Daphnia pulex: one gene and its partner. Each later gene encodes a partner of the first gene's protein in a complex. Links are inferred from orthologs where the notes say so. Each region holds a gene or a part of one and is shown on either strand. Other genes may lie near its edges.

Region 1 (4,534 bases):
AACGATAACGAGCACAGACTCGAAAAAAATAGCAAAAGGGGCTTTTCTTTTCTTTCTTTTTTTTTTTACCCTCCTTTCACGACAATTAAACATACGAAGAAGAATTCTCATGTATGTGTGTGGATGCTCCGAACGAAAAAACCTTCCCGAGAACAATGGCCGCCCTCCTGCTATATGCATATGCACGCCTATAGGTATCTAGTCCGTCTGCTGAACACTTTTTTTTCAACCTGGTATACGTCTGGAAAAATTGGACAAGTTTGTTACCTTTTTTCTTCTTGCCTCGGCGTATCCTCACTGGACACAAGAAAGCCATGACTCAGGTGTGCACCAGACACTCAACACACACTAACACACGCACTATTAACTCGAAATCGATTGGTAAAATGCACTTGATTAGTTTAATTTGTTTGACACAATTAGCAGGGCAATGTCGATTGTTGTATGTTCAGTCGTCAGGTGAGAATGAGAATTGACACAGCAGCAGAAAGAGTCAGCCTGGAAGAAGGCCTGGTTTCTGCTTCTGTTCCATGGCCTCCGCCAATACCCACTGGCACTGCACACCTTGAAAAACAGTCTCTGCTGGTAGATGGGAAGAAGAAGAAGAAGAAGAAGAAGCAACAACTTTACCTCCCAATCCCCCCTCTAACCAATTCCATCCAACCAGGTTTTCTCAAATACAGTTTGTTGCCTTTATGCTCCAGGGGCTCTTTTTCTTACCTTCTTCTTCTTCTTCTTCCTTCATTCACATTCTTTCCCTCTATATGCACCTTTATTATTATATACCTTTGGGCTCTTCTTCTTCTTCTTTCGCTGCTGCTGCTGCTGCTGCTAATTTATTTCTTCCCTTTTCTTGAGGATTGGAGTTTTTTTTGTTTGGGAAGGAAGAGACGCTTTTTACCTGTGCACACCGCCGCGTCTTATAGCCTAGCGGTCACGTAAAAGGTGCGCGCATGCCAGCTCAAGCTAAAAGGGATGTAGTCAGTCAACCAACAAGAAAGCCTTTTATTTTCTTAATTCATTTTTTTTTCTTCTTTTCAACCATTTCTGTCTGTGGTTGATTTATACTTTTTGATGGTTATCTTATTACACTTAAAAAAAAAAAGCCTTTGGGGACAAAGTTGCACCGGTCGTACAGTTATTTTATAAAGGCAAAGAGAGTTCAAGGAGCTCAAGTCTACTTAATAAGCAGTGACCGTTTGCTACCTACTCGCAGGATCAAATGACAAAACAGGTTCCTTGCAATTTTGGCTTCAACTGAAAAAACGACATTTTTCTTATAGTCAAATTAACCGGTTGGACGCGCCATGATTTCGGGATACATTATTTCGCGTCGATAAATTGAGAGGAAACCTTAGATTGGCATTTTCCCGTTATTCGTCCAATTGATTTTGTCATCGAAGAAAATTAGTTATGCGTAGCGTAACCCATATTTGATATGTTTTGTCCTTTTTTTCTTTCAGAAGCGCTGGCAGGAGCTGGCGCTATGCATATGCAGCAGTCGATTTATTTTTCTAAACTGGCAATGCTGTTTCCATTTTCCTGACTGAAGGGACAAGAGGGAAGGCGATCAATTGAGTTAGGGGTCCTCCATTTAAGACTTGAGTTTAGCCCGGCTTTATTCTCCCATTTATTTTTACTTTTATAGAATTACCTCGATTTGAGGTATTTTTCTTTCACAATGACTGATGCCGGTTTCTTCAGAGTAAGTGTTAATAATTACCCAAGTTAGAACTATTATTCCCTTGAATTGTTTGCAGCATCTCGACACGCCAACTCGGTCGTAAAATTCTTGCTTCATCAGTTGTGAAATCTGTTTTGTTAACTGATGGGATGCATTGTAATATTTGAATTCTTTCAACAGGGCACCTCAACTGAGCAAGACAATAGATTTAGTGACAAAGAGAAGAAGCTTTTGAAGACTATCAAATTTGCTGAAAATGTGACTAGAAAGGTAAATTATTGATCACCTGTGCAACTTTAACAACATCAATATGAGTTACATGTTAATATTCATTAATGCATGTTAAAAAATTCAGGTGGATATGAGCAAAGTTAAGTTGGAAACCATCAAACCATGGATCACAACCAAAATTACAGAACTTATGGGAGGAATTGAAGATGACGTCCTGGTGGAATATGTTTTTAATCAGCTCGAAGCTGACAAGGTAATATCCTTTTAATCTCAGCCGTGTAGATTTATCTTATGGGAAACATTTGCCACCAAAGCTTTTCACCAATCATTCTGCTGTTTATCTTATGCAATTTTTTTAATATCAGGCTGAAATAGCCATCACATACTAAGAATGATTGAACGTCAGCTCCTTTGCATCTGGTTCTTGTTTGTAATTTGGTTTAATGTGAAAGATAAGTTATGATTTAAGTTTTCACCACCCAGATGGCTTTGATTATATTTTGTCTGTGCTCATGCTCATCTCAATATCTTGTACACTTTTGGGTCCTGTGTTATGAAGACTTAATGTGGAATTGCATCAAAGCCTTGTTGTCACCATGTCACACACACCACCTTGACATGATGGATGCAAGGATTCTTTCTCGACCGAGACCTGGTCGCATTATTTCGAGGTCTTCTCTTCGAATTGATTCACCTTTCGGCCTGTTCCGTGGACGATTCCTCTTATCGTCGGCCACGATGTCTATGGATTTGGATTTCCAACGTTTCGCAGTCGACCGATGAAGGATTCACTCCTGCGAAATGATGGAATACGGCACGTTCTAAACCATCGAGTCATGAGAGGCAATTCTGGGATCGCCTTTCGCCCAGCCAATGCAACGCCTTCTCCCCCAGTTGATAGTTAACCGCACAGTCGACAACAGGGAAAACTCCTGTGTGGTTAAGTCGGGCTCTGATCGCAGTAGGCCTACTCAGGAATCCGTGTTGAGAAGCTGAGAAGAAGAGATCCTTTCGTCTCGGCCCAAAAAGCAGGACGGTACAGTCGACAGAGATAAGACTCCTGTGCCGTTCGCTAACGTGGTCGAAGCTGCTAGATTTGCCTGATAGATGACGACAGACCATCCCATCTTTAAAAATCACCTGATCGATCGCATCGTGGTGCCGGGGTAGCCATCAGGAGTAGGACTAGTCAGATGACGACCCAATAGCTGGGCGGTACAGTCGACAGGACAACTCCTGTGCCGCTCGCTTCGTGGTCGTCTCTTTGATACCGAGTCGCCGGTGTTTTTATGACGGATGGGAAACTCGGTTCTCCCTCAACGCCCAGATTGGAAAAAAAGAAATAAGAGATTTTTTTCTGTTGTCACTCTGGTCGAGCTCTCAGGCAAGAATAACAAACCAAAACAAACTACGTAAAACAGCTTATCCTTTTAAAGAGCAAACCCCTGAAAGGTATTGCTCGCTTAATCCGCCGAGATCATACCGAAACCTAATCTATTTGTGTCCGTTTACTTAAGTATCTCTTTTCCATTTCGGTTGTTTGATTTTTCTGTTATTTGTCTTTTTTTTTTCTTAAAACCTATAGAACCCTGACCCTCGTCGCATGCAAATCAATTTAACTGGATTCCTCAACGGCAAGAATGCCAGGATTCTGATGACTGAATTGTGGGATCTTCTACTATCTGCCCAAGAATCGTCTGCTGGAATTCCGGAGGTCTTTATGGCACAGAAGAAGGAAGAAATCAAATTAAGAAAGGTATGCAACCATCGGAAATAATTCGCGGTATTAGTTTTGTTTCTATCATTTTCGTCTTTATTGGTTTGCAGGAAGAACAAGATCGAATCCAGGAAGCAATCAAAAAGGCCGACCGGGATCGGCGCGCTGACCGAGAAAAGGAACGCAACGACCGTACTGACAAACGAGCTTCCAAAGATAGAAGCCGTAGCCCCAACAAGGACAGGGTGATCAAGAAGGAAGGAGACAATCCCCGCTCTTCACCTCGTCGTGACGGCCGACGTCCTTCATTGGAGCGTCGTTCTCCTAATCGAGGCAAGGCGTCGCCACCGCCTCGTCGTCGCTCACCTGCCAGATCGCCAGCAAGGCGCTCGCCTCGTCGATCTCCACGTCGATCACCTGTTCGTCGCTCCCCAGCTCGCCGTTCTCCTGCACGCAGATCTCCCGCTCGTCGCTCGCCAGCTAGACGATCACCCGTTCGCCGCTCTCCCGCTAGGAGATCTCCAGTTCGAAGGTCCCCAGCCCGCAGATCTCCTGTTCGTCGGTCACCGGTCCGCAGGTCGCCCGTTCGAAGATCTCCCAGGCGTTCACCTGTTCGTAATCATTCTCCTCGGCGTCCTTCACCACGCCGTTCGCCCGTGAGGAAGTCACCCGTTCGACACCGGTCGGCGGAACGTCGTCGCTCTCCGATTCAACGAGACAGGTGATTTAAACTGACTGAAATGTTGTTTTATTCGTTTTATATATTCAAAATTAATTCTTTTCGCCTGTCAGATCTCCTGATCGCCGTGACAAGGAACGTCCTCGTCGTTCGCCAGAGCCGAAAAAGGATGGAGCCTACAGCGATAAAAAGCCGGCTGCTGTCTCCGGTTTACAGGTAAAAA
Region 2 (3,791 bases), on another chromosome or scaffold:
TTTTTAAAAATAATTGATTACGATATTGCCACGAAAAATCGCCCCATATCGAGCAATCACAATTCGACCACGAATGTCTATGCCGAGAGATTTCAAGTACTCAAAATCTTGTTTCCGACCATAATTTGCGTAAATGAGTTCCCCCTATGAAATGGTGTAATTAAGTTAAGTGTCATCAATAAAACAACGATAGAAATTTAATTTCACCTCGACAGTTCCGTTAGCTGAATAAGCGTTAAAATTGGGTTGAACTAACGGAGAGAATTCTTCGCTGGAAAAGAGTGGCGTCTGACGTCCTGAGGTGGTGAAGTTCACCTTGCCGTTGGAGTCGAGTAGCGAGACCTGATTGGGGTTGCTCATGTCTGGGTAGGAAAGCAGCACCTTGTAAGGAACCAATTGGACTTCGTCTAATCCTCCCTCGACGAAACGATCGCGCACCCAACTAGCCACTTCCAAATCCTGTGGAGTTCCAGCTAAATTCGGTATACTGCTCAAATATCTGTGACAATCATTTTGGGAGTTAATTAGACAATGAATCAAATTTGTCTTTTGATTAGCGATGATGTTGGACTTACTTGAGATATTCGCCAATATTTGATGCACTGAGCTCCTCCATCAAAGTGGCAGACATTTTCGCCTTCTGAGGCGACACGTCGTCCCTATCATTTCCGATAGCGTAACGACCGATGAGAATTCCTTTGTCAGGTGGAAAGATGAAGTCAAACCAACACATACAGTAACATTTCAAATGATTACGATACCTATGATAAGACAAATTACAGAAGCCGTGCAAATTAAAATCCAGTTGGGTTTTTGCGCCATCGTTTCGCTGCGATCACTTCTCCACACCCTTCCGTTCTCGTTTACTGTACCTCAAATAATAACGACGGTTTGAAAAGAAACAGGTTATTAAATAGCTGAAAATATGACAATGAAAGCACGGGAAGTGCGGGTAGAAAGTCGGGTTCGAGATTGCGTGTTCCATATGCAGCGGCACGCAAATACCTGGACAGTAACTAAGGTGATTTGACAAGCCAACCAGACCATCGGTTGCTTGTGGTTTAACACAAGACAGGTCGCATGCTTAACTGACGGGTGACTCTTGTAAAAAATGTAAACGCCATAGGCAATGAATACATTTCTTTAAAATCGCTATTACATAAATCTATTTTTTTTAAACAATTTTTTTTATTTTGAAAACTTCCCGATAGATGGTGTATAGTTTCACGCGTTAACCATAGGTGGAGCTTGTATTCATATTTCGTGTGAAAGCGTTGACAAACGCGAGGGATTACGGTTTGTAAATATTCCCCTGAAATTATTGTAAAAATGAGTGCTCCTATGAGCAAATTAGAATATCTGAAAAAGTACATGTCCTCTTCGAAAAAAGAAGAAAATAAAGTCAAGAAAAAGAAACTCAGGCCCTTACTGAAAGCCAAAGGGTAAGTCAGGCTTTTTGTGAACTTTAGACAATACACATCATTTTTTAATTTTAACTTAAGCTTTTTCTTAATCTAGTCAATTTGTTTTCATTTACTTATTAGGGGCATCAAGATCGTTGATGAAGAAATAGATTTGAGGAAGATAGCTGCAGGATACGAGAAAGATGAAGACCAAATTGACAACCAAGAAGATGCTCCTCTGGTGGCTGGGGTTGTCGATAATCGTTCCATAGAAATGATAACCAAACAAGACTTTGTGGAAAGTTCAAAGTGGAAGAGACTTGGTGTGGATGAAAATGACAAACCAAAATCCATGTCTAAATCAAGTGATCGAGATATTGATTCAAGTGACAGTCACTTACCAAGGAAAGATTCCACTGCCTTGAAACGACCAATCACAGTGAAGAAAGAAAGACATGATTCAGATTCAGATCCCAGTCCTCCACGTAGAAGACACGATTCTGATTCAGATGCCAGCCCACCTAGAAGAAAGCGCCATGATTCAGACTCTGATCCATCTCCACTTAGAAGAACGAGAAAAGACTCTGATCAAAGCCCACCACGAAAACGTCACGATTCAGACTCAGATGCTAGTCCTCCTCGAAGAACAAGGAAAGACTCGGATCAAAGCCCACAACGAAAGCGACACGATTCAGACTCGGACCAAAGTCCATTAAGAAGGCGTAAAGGCTCCGATTCCGACCAGAGTCCACCAAGAAAGCATCAAAATGCTGACGGTGATCTCAGTCCTCCGCGGCGGAAGAAAAACGTTGATTCCGGTGCCCAAATGCGCATCAAACCAGATCCAGACGGAGACCTCAGCCCTGAGCGTCCTAATAAATCAACATCACGCAGCGGAGGAGCTTCGGAGAAACTGACCAAAACCCTAGATGGAAAGATGGCCGGCCTTCAGACTGGCAGAGCTTTGCGTGAGGAGACTGATGCATTACGCAAGAGAGAAGAGGAAGCCTTCCGCAAAATGGACAAATCACTCACTGGGCAGAACGCCACGACTGCCATCCGAGCTGGCAAGCTGCGCCAAATTGAAGCCAAGCAACAGGTTGATAAAGAAAAAGCCGAGAAGATTGCCAAGCTGCAAGAAGCTTACCAAAAATGGAACAAGGGTCTTAAACAAGGAGAAACGCATTCGACGCAAGTTGCCGAAGCCATTCACGAAATGTCCAAACCGCTGGCTCGTTTCGCCGATGACGAAGATTTGGAAAGGTTGTTACGCGAACAAGATCGTGAAGGTGATCCCATGGCTGCTTACATGGCCAAGAAAAAGGTCAAGAGCGGTGGTGACGGCAAGGGGAAAGCCGCTAGACCTGTCTACAGGGGCCCTGCTGCTGCTCCCAATCGTTTCGGTATACTACCCGGCTACAGATGGGACGGGGTTGACCGCTCGACTGGCTACGAGAAGATGTACTTTGAAAAACAAAACAACGCCGTGGCCCTTCAGGAGGAAGCCTACAAATGGAGTGTATCCGACATGTGATTCCGATGATGAATTTACCTTGACTGAATAAAGCCATGCAATTACTTTTAGTAGCCAATGACGCCTGTCCTTGTTCTTAACATTTCCCTTTTTATTACCTCGACGGAATGGGGCCCATCCATCAACATTCAAAATTGCAGGGTTTTTTTCAGATTCAACGAGAGGCGCGCGGAGGAAATTCCATGCGGATGGCGTCAACACTTTGCACATTTTCCGAGTCGCGACTCTACCAGCAGTTCGTGAAAGTTGCCCAACCCATGTTGTAGAGGAGGTGCGGCTATTCATGAATCGTCCGTCGTGGTTGAATCGGAAAATTCTATCCGGAAGATGACACCCTTTCCGGCCTTGGCTGCCTTCAAATCATTTTTCTTCTGTTGTTCAGCAGCAGAAAAAGAAAAGAAAGAAAAGGCGTTGGGGTCGTTTCTGTTGAGTGTGTCGAGTGCGCTATGGCCAGATGGCGCTTTGGCTGAGTGTGTCGAAAGAGAAGGGAGGAAGGTCACGGCACGAAGTGGGCCGGCCGTTTTCAGGTGTGCCCTGTTGTCCGTGTTGTCTATGTTTCGGGGCTTTCTCTCTTCTCTTTTTTCTTGTGTTTAGTCTCCTCCTTTTTGATTCCCAGTTTATCCAGACCTTCTCTCTTTGCCGTCTCATTCTCTCTCTCTCTCTCACCACTGCTAAAGCCATTGGCCATTGGCTCGCACGACGAGACGAGAAAACATCACATCTCTTTTCGTCTTTTGAAAGTACCTACGCAGCCGCTCTTCTCCGAGCTTCAGTCTTGGTCGTAGCCACCTGGTAACACGGCCGCTGCTGGTGCTCAGTCTGTACCTCTTTGCTGTTGACTCTCTGGGTTTTTT

What was found.
Region 2: serine/arginine repetitive matrix protein 1-like (region 1) and BUD13 homolog share a complex: the UniProt entries of both Homo sapiens proteins name them as parts of the minor spliceosome. The link is inferred for Daphnia pulex from reciprocal best matches to the Homo sapiens genes SRRM1 and BUD13.

What each region holds. Positions count from the first base shown.
Region 1 is NC_060027.1:2,459,952-2,464,485, forward strand, and holds the start of serine/arginine repetitive matrix protein 1-like, read left to right. Parts: upstream 1-1,532; 5' UTR 1,533-1,681; coding exon 1,682-1,705; intron 1,706-1,864; coding exon 1,865-1,954; intron 1,955-2,039; coding exon 2,040-2,168; intron 2,169-2,481; exon of another isoform or gene 2,482-3,299; intron 3,300-3,500; coding exon 3,501-3,671; intron 3,672-3,742; coding exon 3,743-4,353; intron 4,354-4,424; coding exon 4,425-4,527; intron 4,528-4,534. Other genes in the region: SH3 domain-containing protein Dlish-like, read right to left, coding at 268-316. UniProt on the Homo sapiens protein: Part of pre- and post-splicing multiprotein mRNP complexes. As a component of the minor spliceosome, involved in the splicing of U12-type introns in pre-mRNAs. Involved in numerous pre-mRNA processing events.
Region 2 is NC_060019.1:12,606,453-12,610,243, forward strand, and holds BUD13 homolog, read left to right. Parts: upstream 1-1,306; 5' UTR 1,307-1,329; coding exon 1,330-1,442; intron 1,443-1,544; coding exon 1,545-2,937; 3' UTR 2,938-2,990; downstream 2,991-3,791. Other genes in the region: glutamate carboxypeptidase 2-like, read right to left, coding at 22-144, 208-499, 576-696, 762-822. UniProt on the Homo sapiens protein: Involved in pre-mRNA splicing as component of the activated spliceosome. As a component of the minor spliceosome, involved in the splicing of U12-type introns in pre-mRNAs.